4 linked regions of the Coturnix japonica genome follow. The protein of the gene in region 3 interacts with the protein of the main gene of each other region in a pairwise test. Links are inferred from orthologs where the notes say so. Each region holds a gene or a part of one and is shown on either strand. Other genes may lie near its edges.

Region 1 (3,907 bases), on a different chromosome or scaffold from region 3:
CAGAACATCCTCTAAAAGCTGCATACAAGAATGTAAGTCTGTATTCCTGCAACTTCCTCCAAAGAAACAACAATGAATAATCAGAACTTCTTTTAGGCCGTTACAGCCCGTACTGTACTGTTTACAGCTCTTAATATTCACATTCACTCCAGGTCTACAATGCCATTATTTAGAAAACAATAAAATAAGGCCATGTCAATCTTTTAAGTCCTACCCACATGGAAGGTGACATTCTTCCAAGAAAACAAATGGAAAGAATCAAATCCTTATTTCAAATAGAAGAGAAATCAATCTTACCTTTCCAGTTACTGCTGAATTTGTCTGCAGAACTGCTACACATTCAACCTCTTACAAATGATTTTTGAAGGACTTCAAAATATGTTTAAATTTTGCTGAACAAGCTGCCACTTACCATACAATGAGAGTTCAGCATTTGTCATGGAAGTATATATTTCAAATAATTGGAAAACTTCTGAATAGGAAAAAAACCAAACAACCTTTCCCCAGAGGATAGAATTATATCACATTATTTGTACAGGATTTAATACAAGCTGTATCACTCCTACATTGCAAATATTTACTGAACTCATTTTGCAGGCTTCTTTAGTAAGTTGTATAATAGCTGGTTAAAAATAATAGGCAGGTGAGCTAATCTGAAAGTGCTTTGTAGCAGGAGATGATCTAACAGGTATGTGGGGCCAGTACTGCAACACACTGCTAAATACTGGGTACAGTTTGGCTTCAATAAATTTACAGTCTACACCAAGGATTCCTTCAGTTAAAAAAGATAAAAATATGTAACTCAGTTATGCAGCTTGCAAATATCCTCATAAAAAAAATGTATTTGTACCTTCTTAAGTACTGAGTTTTTTAGCCTTGGATGAATCAGGGGGAAAAAAGACAGCAAAACACAACATTATTGAAACTATAAGCCAAGCCATCCAATACGCAGATAATCTACCTCACCTCCTCCACCTGAGTTTCTGTACTTAAGCTAAACTCTACTCCTGCCCTGATGCTACACCATAAGTGACCACCGTCAATGATGCTACATATCACATTAATTCAAATCTTTTTGAACACAGATTAAAAACATTGTCCTACGTTTAACAGAAAGCTGCACTGACTTTTTTTCTTGCTAGCACTTAGTTCACCAGAATTAGCATATATCACAAAGGTCACACTGAAAAAAGACACAGAAAAGATGAATACTCACCATTAGCTACATATGTAATCTTGCATAGAATATTGTCTCTGCTTATTTCTTTGTTCCCCTCTGGTGGACTTACTAATGTCTGACATATCATAGCGATATTTATTTTGGCACGGACACAGCGATTGTTCAGCTACCAGAGAAAAATGAAGAAACATTGGTAAGCCTCAAAGTAAACTTAATTCCTCCTTCTTGACTGCTAACATTTTCATTTGCTATAAAGTTTAAGACAATCCAGAGTTTGTTTTTTGAAGAATTTGCTTTCCAGCACTGTGATATACCACGAATGCAAACAAAAGATTTATCACTGTAATTCAGCATGAAATTGCACCTCTTTAAAATGTTTTCATATATTTTGTTTTTCTTCTTCTGCAACACTTTTTGAAATACGGCAAAAAAAGCTTTTGTCTTGGAACACACAGGCCAGTGTATCAACGCATTTAAAAAAGAACCTGTATTTTGCATACCTCCCTCAGCCCCCAGCCTACTTCACATTTGTACTGCAACACCATCACCATGTAACAGAAAAACTGCGAGGAAAAACCGAATAGAAAAATTCTTAAAGTAGAGATAGAGCAAAAGCAGCACTTACAGGAGCACTGTCATGTTCCACAGAGAAATTGCACACAATCCACGTTTCAGGGTCATTTTCACTGAATGCTGGTATCTTTCTGATAGCAGACAGATACAGCACGTCCCTTTGAGAAGCTGGCCACACTCTCTGCAGAGAAATATCCCATTGTAAGCTTTTCAAAATGTTACAAATTAAGTACTTTTTGTTCTTAAATAAGAAGGTCAAAGCAGTTAAGGTTAACAAGGTCAGACATGTTATCTAAGTAAAAAAAATAGTTGAAATTAGTTCTCTTTAAGGTCTTCATTAACCAAAGTGCAGTGGGAACAACTGCACTCTTAGCAGTCTCACTCTTGTACCTATATTGTAGCCTATCAGGTTATGCAGCTGCACTTGATTAAAAAAGAAATAAGGCAAAAATTTAAGGCCCAAAAACAATCTGCAATGACTTTTGCTTGTAGGCAGCACTAGTGGCTAAGTATAAATACATGCATCTAAAGTCTGACTATGCATGTAGGTCTCCATACACATGAGGGAATAAAGAAATAAATATTTTAACTAGTATTTTTAAGAGCTACTACTTCAGCAAGACAGAAGTGATAAACTGATGGTTTCCAACAGTTAATTTCACAATTTCAAGCACCCCACCCCCCCAAAAAAAAAAGAAACTATACAGAAACTATTTTCCTGATATTCAGTAGAAGCAAAAATATTGTTTTTACCATAACGCTACAGTTGACTCAACAGAATATTGAAGCCTTCTTGTTATGGCATCTTTAAGGTAATACCCTCACTGGTAAAATTGTCTAAGTTAATCGTCTAGTTGTTCAAGTATCTGAGTATGCCAGTACTTGCCATCATGCAAGATTTAAGTTTACATGGCTGGACAGTGATAGGACAAGGTGGAATGGTTTTGAACTAAGACAGGGGAGATTTATGTTAGATTTTCACTCACAGGGCGGTGAGTGACCAGAAAACAAAATATTATACCAAATATTAAACCAGCATGTACCATGTCATAATGCTAATGCTTTTGTTAAATATTTGTAGTTAACAATAGCTTGCATTACTGAAAAAAGACAAATGATGAAGTGGTATGAGTTTCTTGCTTGTAGTCAATGTTGACTTATTGCTTCAGTTTGCTTTAGATAACCACTGCCTAGCTGGAAATGATAGTATTACAGATAATAATGAACAGCTCTCATTTCTTGTTACATACTGTGGCAGACACATTCGCAACCAATTATGCTACCTAGCCAAGCTCAGAAAGTTGACAGCGTTGCAGTTCCTTAAAGAACTTGTTCTCAGCTAGTTTGCTTTTTAAGCAAAATTTTTTGTTTTGGCAAAATATATGCCACTGAAGTATTTCAAAACAAGTCAGAGTGCTGTTTTGGTAGGGTGTGTACATAGGTGACACGTAATTCTTACCTTATGCGTCTGGTAAATGATGATTGCATTATCAGCTAAATTTTCCACAACATGGAAGTTTTCAATTGTTGCTGAAAAGCAGGAAAAAAAAGATCAGTAAACAAGCACAAAAGCAAGTCTGAATCAGGATCTGAGCAGGGCCTGATGGGATTAATTCCATGGCACTGAAAGAGCTGGCTGTTATCATCGTGAGACTTCTCTCAAGTATTTCTTAGTGCACTTTGGAATCTAGAGAGGTACAAGCTGAGTGGAAGCAGGCAAAAGTTGTACCAATCAATTTTAAATAAAGATAATAAGGAAGACTGGTAATCAGAGGCCTCTGAGTCCCACTCCAGTGCTTAGTAAAATAATTGAAAAGATTATTCAGATTTTTATTACTGAAAAACCTGTGAAAGATTATAGTTATGGGTCATAGCTAACAAGGGTTCATGAGGGGAAAATCCTATTAAATGAACTTAATCTCCTCTTATGCTGGGGTTACCCAGTTGGCAAACAAAGAGAAGCCACAAGATGTGGTCTTATGGATTTCAGCAAAAGCTTTTGGTACTGTTTCTCACAGTGCCCTCCAGGATAAGTGTCCAGCGTATGTGTAGACGAGAACATAAAACAGTGGGTGAACAACTGGCTGATGAGTTGGACTCAAAGGGATACAGTAAATATGTTACATCAGGCTGGTGGTAAATCACTAGTGGGCT
Region 2 (3,573 bases), on a different chromosome or scaffold from region 3:
CATCTCTTTCTTAGCCACCTCTCTTCCAATATACATAGATAAATGGAACAATAAGGTAGACAAATCACAGCACCAGTTAAATTGCAAGAGCTGTTGCAGCCAACACCTGCTGAGAATCCATCCACTGTTCACTTCTGGGTAAGTAAATGAAGAAAGCAGCAGAAATATCTACAACCTCCCATCTACTAAGTGAATATCTCACAAAGATTGACATTACAGCCATTGGAGCACACAGCCACTTACCCTGTCCACCATGAAATCAATCCCATCGGCCATTTCAGGGTCTACAGGACCAGATGCAAAATTGCCAAGGACAATTTTTTTCAGCATAAAAGCAGGCATTAACCAAAAGCTAAAACAGAAACAAGACGTAACAATCAGAATTAAGATGCTTTCTTTTAAGTCTTCCCTTTTCTTGCACTGACTTTTGTGCAAGAATTTCAAATGAAATCGTGAAGATGCTTCAAGAGCAGAGATGGAAAAACTTGCAGATATGTGACTGAAATGCTCTGGAAAGCTGCTGCATTGCAAGGGTGTATTAAAAACATTGTGAATAACACTTTCCTCACTCTAAAAAGTTTTGCTGGAAATCAAGTAGAATTCTGAAGTCTGACCACGTCCTTAAATGATCACAGGAAATAAATACAGGAGGAGTCTGTCAAATTCCACACTCCCAATTGTGAGAACTTCTGTTTCCTTTATAGTATGGTTTTAAAAGTCACATGTATTCCAGCCCTCACCATTAGGCACGCAGGCTGAAAACAAGTTAAACACATGTTGAACCAGATCAGTGTGGAATTTCATCAGAAAACACATTAATGCCACCAGTCTCATTGCTTGTCTCGGTCTTCCTTACCTGTTTGCTGTCCATGTCTGATTGAAGATGGAAGTGTCGCTAAAGGCATTACATAGAATCAGAGATTGAACTCGGGGAGATTTGTGTGTGTATTCAGCAAATTTCTGAGCCAGGAAGCCTCCTAGAGAAGCTCCAAAAAGGTGAACCTAATTCAAAAAGGAAAACCAAAACAAACAGGTCATGTTACATTTGAGAACTAAGTGACCCTTAAGGGCCACGTTACAAAAAGTCCTTCAAGTTTTACCTTGTCCTTATAGCTCATTTTTAATTGGAAAAACAAAACAAAACAAAACCAGAACAAAAAGGCCTTCAATGTAGGTTCTTTGATTTACAAGAAGAGATAAATACCAAAAAAAGGAAGCGTTTCCTGATCACGCTTCTAATTTCTGTGTGCTCATCGTGCTTAAGTAAAATGTAATCATTTCACTTTATATTCAATGTTTTTTCCAATCCAAGGTACTTTATGGTGATATTCTGTACAATGTGAGTTATGAAGGATAACTTCAGCAGGATCTCAGCAAGAAAGAAAAATGCAGTTAGCAACCCAATGTAATAAGCCTCCAACAGCAGAGAATTCAGTCAGATTTTCAAGGGAATTTCCTTTCAAAAATAAACTAGTTTCAAAAGAACACAGCCTCTTTATAGGCTGGTTTTGCATTGTGAACTTCACATTTGCTCTTAAATGAGGCCTTCAAGCATCAGGTTTTTATGGCAGCTATATATCCATCTCTGGGCACTCACTTTATCCAGCTGAAGGTGGTCTAACAGTTTTCTGAATCCATCACAGAACTCAAGGTGATCCCAGTACACCGGGTACTGCAACTGAAACAATATACAAGACACAAAAAGCCAGTCTCTAATCATCAGACGTCAACCTCCTGCTACAAAGTTACACTGATTCTCACATTCAAGGTTTCTAGATGATACTCACAGCAATAACTCTGTAACCCCATCCAGTCAGTGCCAAAATTTGCTGGAAAAACACATCTGCAGTTCCACTTACAGGAGGAAGAAATATGAGCGGGCACCGAATGCTCCTGGGTCCTGCATCGTACAGCGACCAGACTTTACTGTCATCATCATCTACTATTATCTGGAAGAAGAGGAGAAGAGAAGGGGTGAGAAACACAGGACTGAAATGAGCTTCTTCAAGCATGTTCCAGGATTGCTACTACAAAATATTTGTCATTCAGTAAATATTACGGTATCCAAAACTATTGAATAAGACCAGCTTTTATTTCTCACAACAACTTTCTTCTCTAAGGCTGTTTACTAAGCAATGATGTTTCCAAGGATGGAGCTGGAGACAGAACTACAACCGGGCACTGTCAGACCCATTTATACAGTTCCACATGAGGAGAAATATGCTTGGAGCCACTGTGCCACGGCCCAAAAGAGAACCATGGGGCCAGCTCACAGTACCCAGAACAGCAGCCTTAGGCTGGAAGAGCCTGCATTGCCCCAGGGTCTGATTTTTAACTAACTCCTATTTACTGGACAAAAGATGTTACAGGTCTGGATGTGTGTGAGTCTATTGAATTATGCTGCTAACTGCAAATTATTGATTTAAAGCAGTTACACCTGATTGCTAGGGATGTACTCAACTCCCAGAGCAGCACTGCACAGCTGACCTGGAAAGAAATAAGCACATGTCAGGAGAGCCTGGAGTCCCTACGACACAGCTGGATGAAGCAGATTATCCACCACAAGCTGCTCACAGAGGGCACGTAACATGCCAGAAGCAAGAAGTCACAGCAGAAATAGTATATTCAGAAGTATAGGAATTAGGTAACGATTGTCTGCTCCAGCCTTGCTGAAGCCTGGCTCGCTTTTACAGGGCCTGACCTACCAACAAGCTGTTGTGTGTATTTAGCATGCTGGTTTCAACCCTCATCACCCCAGCAAAAAGCATGCAGCTCATTCCAGATCAACAGTCACAAATCTAAGGAAAGCTGCATCGCACAGCAGGAGTTCATCCACGTGTCAAGATTCTGTAATTTTTTGAATAGCAGCATAGAAGCATAATTCACTTTCCCATCACAGCAATTAAGCTGCTCAGGGAGTTAGAGAACAGTGTATCATTTTTGCTTGATTAACAAATCTGCTTGTAATAAAGCCGGTATTTCAAGCTCTGGGAACATGTGAGGAATCACATGATACTGCTGTTTTGTGAGATCTCCAAGAGAAACAAAGAAAGACAGATTACATAGCAGGGCTTCCCAGACCACTGAAGCCACTAAGAAAACACATACACACAAAAACCCCCCCAGCACCCTGCACAAAAGCCCTCCTAAAGCCTCCCAAAAATCAACCCTTCACATCATCTCCAGAAATTACAGCTCTCAGCTGTTATTCTACAGTAACTTTGGAGACATTCAAGGTAGCTGTCAATGGCTACAGCAGAATCTTAAGGAGTACTTCCAGATGAGGAGCAACACCTGACTTATGAAGGGAACTGAGGCTCAGAGGTAAAGTTTCTTTCCTCAAACTCAATGAATCAGGGGGTTTGAACTGTTCTATTTGATTTCCAGCCACATCCCAGATACTACTACAGCTCAAACCCAATGCTAAGTGCTGTGGGATGGTTAACTGCTGGCTTGGGAGGGCATTAGCTTTTTTCAGGTCCACTGCTGAAGAGCATTTACAGTCAAAAGTCAAAACAGTTAATAGTTACAGTCAAAAGGGCAAAATCTGTACATCACTGAAACAAGAGGCAG
Region 3 (4,485 bases):
GAGCAAGTCCGAGACCACCTCATGAGACTGAATGCATACAAGTCTATGGGGCTGGATGGCATGCATCCCAGGGTTCTGAAGGAGCTGGCTGAGGTGGTTGCTGAGCCGTTCTCCATCATATTTAAAAAGTCATGGCTGTCAAGTGATGTCCCGGATGACTGGAGGGTCACATCACTCCCATATACAAGAAAGGGAGCAAGGAGGACCTAGGGAACTACAGGCCAGTGAGACTCACCTCTGTGCCTGGGAAGATCATGGAACAGATCCTCCTGAATGACACGCTTGATCACATGAGGAATGAGCGTGTGATCCAAGACTGCCAGCACAGCTTCACCAGAAGGTCATGCTTAACCAATCTTGTGGCCTTCTATGATGGAGTGACAGCATTGGTGGACAAGGGGAAGGCAACCAATGTCATTTACCTGGACTTGAGCAAGGCCTTTGATATGGTGCCCCACAACATCCTTATCACTCCATTGTAGGGATGTGGATTTGATGGGTGTCCCACTCAATGGATAAGAAATTGGCTGAAAGGCCGCAGAGAGAGGGTGGTGATTAATGGTTCTGTGTCCAGGAGGAGGCCGGTAACAAGCAGTGCCCCCCAGGGGTCTGTCTTGGGACTGGTGCTCTTTAACATCTTTATCAATTACATCAACAAACAGAATTGAGCGCACCCTCAACAAGTTTGCTGATGACACTGAGCTGAGTGGTGCAGTTGACACAGTGGAAAGAAGAGATGCCATTTAGAGGGACCTCAACAGACTTAAAATATAGGACCAGGTGAACCTGAGGTTCAACAGAGCAAAGTGCAAGGTTTTGCACTTTGGGCTGGAGGAATCCCAGACGTCTATACAGACTAGAAGGAGTAGTCACTGAAAGCAGCCCTGAAGAGAAGGACCTGGGGGCCCTGATGGATAAGAAACTTAACATGAGACAGCAGTGTGCTCCTGCAGCTCAGAAAGCAAACGGTACCCCGGACTCCATCAGGAGAGAGGTGGCCAGCAGGGACAGGGAGGTGATTGTCCCTCTCTGCTCTTGTGAGGCCCCATCTGGAGTACTGTGTCCAGGTATGGAGCCCCCAGTACAAGACAGAGAGCTGCTGGAAAGGGTCCAGAGGTGAGCCATGAAGATGATCAGGGGGCTGGAGTACCTCCCCTACCAATGATAGGCTGAGGGAGCTGGGCTTGTTCAGCATGGAGAAAAGGCTGTGGGGTGACCTAACTGCAGCCTTCCAGTACCTGAAGGGAGCCTATAACCAGGAGGGGAGTAAACTCTTTTTCTGTAAGAGTGGATAACAGCAAGACAAGGGGAAATGGTTTTAAGTTGAAGGAGGGAAGTTCTTTACCATGAGAGTGGTGAGGTCCTGAAACAAGCTGCCCAGAGAGGCTGTGGATGCCCTGTTCCTGGAGGTGTTCAAGGCCAGGTTGGATGGGGCCCTGGACAACCTGGTCTAGTAAATGGGAAGGCTGGTGGCCCTGCCTGGCAGGGGGGTTGGAGATTCACGATCCTTCAGGTCCGTTCCAACCTGGGCCATGCTGTGAAAAACCTCCACCTGCCAAAATAAGCTCATATCAAGATGGCTTTCTGCTATATTCGTGAGAACTAATGATCTCTATCAACAAGTAAAGAAAATACTGTTAAGTGAAGCAAGTCTGTACAACAAAAGGAGTAAGATACGTAACACATTTATCTTCTGACTCTAGAAACATTAAGTCAAAACTTCCCAAATATCATCCTTTGAAAGCCTAGTTTCACTTGAGTCAGTGCTCATTCACGAACACTAGATGGCATCCAAATCCTATTTTATAAGTAGGCTGTAAAGCAACCCCCTAACAGTCACTGCTGGCTGCCCACACCCAGTGGCTGGAGCCATGCCTTCTGTGCCACAGTGCAGCATCACAACAAAATCCATGCTGAAGTCAACCTTCATACACAGTAGTTTTATGGATGTCAGAAATGGGTTTTAAAGTCCGGCTGGCATGAGAGCAAAGCAACAGGGTTATCTGCTAGGAAGCCAAGTACAGCACATACTGAGAAAGGGATGGGAAAAAAGGAGCACATACTGAGAAGGGGACAGGAAGCCAAGTACAGAATATACTGAGAAAGGGATGGGGAAAAAAGGAACGCCTGGCACAATCTCCAAAGATGACATGCAAATGTTTAACAGCAGCAGCTGCTGGTGTTGCAAGGTAAAAAGAAGTGATCTGTTAAAACTGCTTTAAGTAGGAACTACTTACATGAGGATGGGTTTCTCCATAGTTAAACCCAAACCAATTCAGAACTTACTTTTGTTTGTTTCCACATCTGTGCCACAGTGAAGGACAAGGCCCCTGTGGTCTGACACCCTCATAGAACATGCTAGGCTACATGAAGGTCAGCCATACAGCTTTAAAGCCGGATCTGCCAGTGAGGTTGCTCAAAGCTCTGTTGGCTTTATTGGAGTCATGGAGTGTATTTAATAACTAAATAAATCTGCAACCACTTCTTACCATCTGCCTGCAGCGTCCTGGGGCTGTCAGGAGGTACATTTTCAGGCACACAGAGGTATGCTTGCATTTGAGTTGGCTTACAACAAGCAGCGCCAATGAGTAAGTATTCGAGGACAGCACAAAAAAGCAAGGCTCAGAAGAACACACAGCACAGATCACAGATCCAGGCCCTGTGATTAATTATCTGCCCTTTCTCAGAGTGAAAGGCAACTGTTAGTTCTTTGTTTCATTATTCTGACTGCTAATTGGAAGAAGTTTGGTAATAAAAGCAGACAATTGATTTTATTAATGGATTTGTGTCTTGTTAGAATCTTCAGGCATGTCACAGAAGTACAACTCTGTTCAGCAGCAGAGTACCACAGCATCAAAACAGCAAAGTACTTCTCCAGTCTACGGGAAGCTGGAACTCCATAACGCATATGGTTTAGAATTAATGCCAGGGGAAACCTTCTTTTAACTCTCTTCTACTTTAAATAGCACATTACTGGATGAAAAACAACAATACCACAACCAAACACTGAAATGGAAGTTCCATTTGAAAATTATCTGTGCTGTGTGCAAACCGATCTTAACGGTTGCAGGAACACTCACTTTCTTAATGGTCACTTTTCCTACTAAACTGAGCACTTAGCTCCCTTGTGCACTATTTATTTCTGGCAGGGACCTACTACAGGCTGTAAATCACATGAGTGGAGCTGTGCATGTTCTTTTCCAGGCATAAGCTGTATGTACCACAGCAGAAAGGACGTTTTCCCAAGCTTTGAAGTCTGTTGTTTAACTGAATTCTGCATGAAAAGAAAAAATGCCTCTTGTGCACATGGAGTAGACTGAGATACCATCCCTGGTTTACTATTGTGTACAGCAAGTCCGGAAGGCCTCTAATGCTCAGCCTGTAGACAAGCACAGAAAAGCTTACAGTGAGTAGTGACTTATCTGCACACCAACAGATCACCAGCAGGAGAACCGAAGAAAACTGAAGACAGTGAGACCACTCCTGATAAACATGATAAAAAAAAGGGACTGAAGCAGTCAAAATATGAAAAGGTGAGAGCACAGGCTCTAACATTAGTTTGTTACCCTCTGCTTAAACAGGGTAGTTTACAGAAAGTAACTTAAAAAAAAAGAGTAAGTCGTAGCATGTTTAAGTGTAGCTAAAGGTTATGGAGATTAGTGAACTGCAAGACAGTGAACACAGATTACCTGAAGATATATTCAGCTTTGCTGAAAAGACTGCAGTAGGTTTTTCCTTTTCTTTAGCAGAAGCAGCTCCTCTCTCAGCTTCCTTCTGAAAAGCTTCTGGCTTTCCTACACTGACTGTTTCTTCTTCAGTAGGTAAAGGTGAGGTATCTGTGGCTGGTAAGGACACCATGGACACTTCAGGCACTTCTCTGTCCACAGCCTGCAAGGACTTTTTCAAGGCATGAGCATCTTCATCAGTTTTCATTTCTACATTCTTTACAGACAGATCACAGGGCAGCTCTGGGCAAGGCAACCGCCTCTTCTCATCTCTGATCTCATTACTGGTCTCTTCGCTTTCATTTTTGTGCACTGTTTCTTTATCAGTGACTTCAGCCACAAACTCGGGACCAGTTTTAGGATCAACTAGCATCACAAAGTCGTCTTCTGAGACAGGAGAAGATTCAATAGGTGAGAGACCTTTGCCATCACCTGGTTTTGGTTCCGTAGCAATAGATACATCAGTTGAATAAGCCAGAGTGTTCAGTTCTTCCATCTGAAGTGGAATCTTCTCTGCCTTGGCTATCTTTGCAGGTGTGGGCTCAGATGGCTGAGTGCTAACAATTTTGGAAGAGTCTAGTTCAGCTTGGAAAGACTCCAAATAGGGCTTACCAGTAGCAGCCCATGAATCTACCAGCCGTTCCTGCTCCTCGTCAGTTTCAATATTCTCAACTGATTCACTATTTAAGACGAGGGTCTGATCTTCACTTTCATTCCCAGGGACATCAGGTATCACATGGCGATTAAACAAGTCAGATTT
Region 4 (4,485 bases), on a different chromosome or scaffold from region 3:
TCTCCCTCCTAGAGAAGAAAATTCAAATATTATCTCTGGGGATTCCAGACAGCGGTGCCAAAGGAGATAAATTATCTTAGAAAACGTGCATTATTCTGCACTACACAGCAATAACTGCATAGTCAGGCCATACAAGCACCCAAGCATTCCCAGAAGCAGGTCAGCTGCTCACCCCATGGCCCTCCTCCTCTTCTGGAGCCCCCACAGGAGCAGGGACCCAGCACAGTGCACATGGGGATGGAAGCCAGAGGGGAACAGGGCCCAGCTCCAGTGACTATCACCTATGGAGAGCCAAGTGTGAGGCAGGATTCCAAAGGAATGGAAGCATGCCTGGAAATTCTGATTTCTCAGCCACTTCTAAAGGAAACGAGGGGTTATAGCAGTGACTGAAAGGGCAGTGGTGTTTACATGTGAAAGACCAGGAGCACAAGGCCAGCCTGTACCAATGTTAACAATAACTAATTCAATCTGTCTATGAAAAGAATTACAGGAGCTCTGAAATAAAGGGGAGCTGCAGCTAAGCCTTCTTCATTTCACAGACAGTCAATACTCTAAAGAAAAACAAACCAGAAAACTAACCAAAGTCCTGAAATACAGCTAGCAAACATGAGCACCCCCAACACCACTCAGCCCAAGAGTCATCAATTCCTCCGTGCTTCGGTAGGAATTTAATGAACTTTGCTCATGTTCTGCTCAAGGCACGGATGTGCCAACAGATCTGGAAGCAGCTCCAAACAGTGCTCCCCCCACCTCATCCCTTTCTCCTTCCCACCATTATTTTCTTGTAAAACATCAGGCCAAAACGTTATTGCAATGATGCGGGAAGCTGCTTCCATCTGAGAGCGAAGTTTTAACACATGCTCAGATATCAACAGACTCTATGGATGCTGATGTCAGTTTGTGCTGCATCTTCAGAAAAGATCTAGGTATGAAAACAGCACGTATGTCCCAAATGAGCTCACCTTGTTGCTTTTTAAAGCTAACCTTTCCAATAATTCTTTTTAATCACACAATTATAAATCAGGGTTATCCCCGGTTCACTTGTGAAGCATACTACCAATTGATACCATTCCCTTAGCTAATCATTAAATTAAGCATAAAGCAACACTTTACAGGTTCAAGAAGATACTAAGAGAATCTGCATAAGTTTATTATACACATCTCAGATAATAAAATTACTTATAAACACTTGTATATACATTTTCATGCAGTTCAGAAAAATTATGCAGAGATTGGAAAACGACTGAAATCAGCAAATGCACCTTTTGATTTGGTCTGTTTTCTGTACTTCTTCCAGAAGAAAAATATATGATTAAGAAAGCAAAAAGCCACATTTAGACTGGTTTGCTTATTACCACTCAGATGCTTGTTCTCTCTCCTATTGGCAACGCAGCAGAATTAACAGTGCAGTCAAAAATGCAGTTGTTTTTGAGTTAGATCCTGATTTGAAATACAAAGCCCCAGTAGTGCAAAGCAGATATTGTGCCAGCTTATCTAGGCAGTGGAGGACAATCCTCCTGCATAGGACAGCCACCAGTCCCACTGGAAAATGATGCCCAGGCAGGTAAGTGTAAAGAACATACAAGAACATACGATCTGTAGGGTCTGTCTCACCCACACCAGAAATCTTCTTCTGTGAGATTATCCTCACTTGGTGGGCTGCCATGTGAGGACAGACAAAGCCTGTGTGTATTACACCAACTGATAACCTGTATCTACCACACCACTGCCCAGTGGGTGATCACTAGCCTGAGTGTGATGCAAACCAGCACCCAGACTCAATTTTGGTTTAACAGCCAATGCTGAAACTTGCACAGCACCATTGAATGGAAGGAAACAGCTGTGGTGCAAGAGATGGAATTTGGTGCCAGACTAGTAAACGACAAAAACAAAACACGAGGTGATTCAGAACAAAAAAACCCGAACCTTTCCAGCATAATATTTCCTTCCTATCATCAGAAGGGATGAAGAAATGCCAATCCTCTCCTAAGGAGCTCCAGGAATTAAATTTAGGTAGCTGATGGTATGTGAGTATCTTGGCACCTTTCTGTCTACATACCATCACTGCCCTAGAGAATCCACGTCCTCAGCTGCGTCACATGCAGTTTTCCAGCAGCTAATGAGAGCTCAATGTTCAGAAATCAAGCAAATGAAGACTTCTTCCCTTGCCACTGACTCTACAAGTTTAACTGATGGAAATGGGAAAAAAATGATGAAAATGGAAAATAACAAAATGGTCTGAAAAGTAACTACCTTGAAGTGCCATCGCTTCATCCAGGGATCCTGCTCCCTGAAAGCTGCCCCTCTAGGCATGGGTCCCCTGGATCCTATTTTACCTGCTCTTGTAGGAGAGACTGTCCCAAAGATGAGGTGACTTGGTCTGGCATTCTTTACTGCTCAACATGCCAAAAATGGTTCTCTTTCCAGATCCCAAACATACTACAGATAGCCCATTTGGACAAGAGCCCTCAGCAAACTTGAGCTGTGCTTAACTGAACAACAGTGAAATCGTGGATCAAAAGCTTTTCTGTATAATGCTCACAGAAATGCTTTTCTGAATGAAACTCACTTTTACAAGTGAACAAAATAACACATAATCAAAACAGTGATGCAGAAAAGAGTGATTCAGGCACAAAGGTGGACGTGCAGCTTGTTCTGGTCTTTGTTTTTTTTGGTATTCATGATGACAGAAGCCTTGAACTTCAAGTAAGCATCCAAACATGCATTGTATAATCACAATATAAAACCGCTATTAGTTATCCCTCATGCAATCTCTGTGGCAATACAGGCTAACAAGTGCACGGGATGCTAATTAAGAATACTGGCAGTATTAAGTCCAAATAAACACTATCAGTTAGTATCAGAAACAGTAATAACGCCTAGGCACTTTAAAGTTGACAGAGTATTCAACAGTGCTTTCCCATGCTGCCTGAAAAATCCAGTCTATAGTGCTACCAAATGTTCATTTCTAGGACTTAAAAAATAAGATAATAAAAGAGAGGAAAATGTGATCTGCATGCAGTTTAGCCTATCTGTGAGCTATCTGCGTGTCAAGAATGTTTGCAGACTTCATTAATATAAATAAGGAAAGGATCAGAGAATTTACTCCAGAAGAAAACAGCATCAAAATCAAACTGTGATGATTAGACATATGATAAAATGAGCAAGAAAGGGAGGATCTTGTAGGTTTGCCCTTGCTTTTCCTAAGGTTACTAATTTGGATGTAGAAAATGCAGGGCAACCTGGAAAGATAAAAACTAAACTTGCTTCCCAGGCCTTGTCACTTCTAATGCTTGACAGATGATACTGAAAAGTCAGGTTAAAGAGTACATGACCTGTCAGAGCACAGTGCTTGCCATGGGACAGCTGCTTCCTGCTGACTGAGAATGAGGGAAGACAACCCACAGTCCCAGGATCTACAGGCTGCCCTGGTTACCATTAGGACTCCAGCAATGTGTGCCACCTGCAGACCTGCAGCCCCTTTGACTCTTTCATCTCCTGCCAATGACTTTGCTCTTCTTCTCCACTGCTGTTCTGCCCCATGGAGATCCAGCCGATCATCTCTTTGCGTTTCATGCTGCGTTTGTTGTATATGGAGATCATTAGTGTGACATCGGAGAGCTGGAAGAGGGCAACCTGGAAGATGAAAGTTTCTTTGTAGACGGGGTTGGGCTGCCCTCGACGGATGGAGGTCTTGCAGCGAGACATCTCCTGGCCCACAGAGTTGAGCAGGCAAAGCTTTCCATAGGTATCTAGGACAAAACACAGAAAATAAAATGTTTGGCAGAGTTAACAGATTAAATGGAAGCCCCAAGTAGTCAGAAATCACTCCAAAAACTCCAAGCAGCTTTGTCTGCACTGCATATAAGGTGAGGGTTGGACCTATCTCCTTCATTCAAGGGATGAAGAGCAGTAGATGAGAGCAACCCTTGGACTTCCTCATGTCCAGCTGGGGAGAAGAATGGAAGGAAGCAAATATGTGATTCAGACCTATACTCTTGGAAATAAAAACAGCAAAAGAACTGCTTCTCAAATTCAGGAAACCTAAGGCTAACTGAATCCATGAGCATCTCCCTGGATTCTCCATGTCAAACAGCGTGTCAGCACCTTTCATTCCTCTCCCTCACCCCTCACAACAAAGGTTTGGTCGCAAAAAAAGAGGGGGTGAAATGATTTGATCTCACATGATGATTTCAAGACCTGTTCCAAATTTTCATCTTTTTTTTAAATTATTATTATTTTTTGGACTTAAGGTCAATTTTATTCATTATTTGAGTGAATGCAAAGAGTAAAAATTTTAAGTAGATACAGGGATACAGGGAAGGGATGGTCTAATTCAATATTTCCATAAATACACCCTTAAAACTCTTGCTGCCTCCTGTGCTAATGATCCCATGTCTGGTACGTGTTGGCTAATACTGTGGTCCAAGGCAGAGCTCTCTGCTCCACAGACCCAGCTCGGTGCAGTCTTTCACCTTGCTCTGC

What was found. The genes of interacting proteins can lie anywhere in the genome.
Region 1: the proteins of RTN4 (region 3) and CERT1 interact in binary tests that used the Homo sapiens proteins (3 or more experiments, as listed by UniProt). The link is inferred for Coturnix japonica from reciprocal best matches to the Homo sapiens genes RTN4 and CERT1.
Region 2: the proteins of RTN4 (region 3) and SPG21 interact in a two-hybrid assay, tested with the Homo sapiens proteins (2 studies listed by BioGRID and IntAct). The two-hybrid records come from large-scale screens. The link is inferred for Coturnix japonica from reciprocal best matches to the Homo sapiens genes RTN4 and SPG21.
Region 4: the proteins of RTN4 (region 3) and SYT16 interact in binary tests that used the Homo sapiens proteins (3 or more experiments, as listed by UniProt). The link is inferred for Coturnix japonica from reciprocal best matches to the Homo sapiens genes RTN4 and SYT16.

The regions. Positions count from the first base shown.
Region 1 is NC_029547.1:21,922,768-21,926,674, reverse strand, and holds part of CERT1 (ceramide transfer protein), read right to left. Parts: intron 3,284-3,907; coding exon 3,213-3,283; intron 1,935-3,212; coding exon 1,806-1,934; intron 1,347-1,805; coding exon 1,217-1,346; intron 1-1,216. UniProt on the Homo sapiens protein: Shelters ceramides and diacylglycerol lipids inside its START domain and mediates the intracellular trafficking of ceramides and diacylglycerol lipids in a non-vesicular manner.
Region 2 is NC_029525.1:16,062,535-16,066,107, forward strand, and holds part of SPG21 (maspardin), read right to left. Parts: intron 1,950-3,573; coding exon 1,788-1,949; intron 1,679-1,787; coding exon 1,598-1,678; intron 1,003-1,597; coding exon 857-1,002; intron 353-856; coding exon 244-352; intron 1-243. UniProt on the Homo sapiens protein: May play a role as a negative regulatory factor in CD4-dependent T-cell activation.
Region 3 is NC_029518.1:5,127,790-5,132,274, forward strand, and holds part of RTN4 (reticulon-4), read right to left. Parts: coding exon 3,690-4,485; intron 1-3,689. UniProt on the Homo sapiens protein: Required to induce the formation and stabilization of endoplasmic reticulum (ER) tubules. They regulate membrane morphogenesis in the ER by promoting tubular ER production.
Region 4 is NC_029520.1:48,966,361-48,970,845, forward strand, and holds part of SYT16 (synaptotagmin-16), read right to left. Parts: intron 3,753-4,485; coding exon 3,439-3,752; 3' UTR 1-3,438. UniProt on the Homo sapiens protein: May be involved in the trafficking and exocytosis of secretory vesicles in non-neuronal tissues. Is Ca(2+)-independent.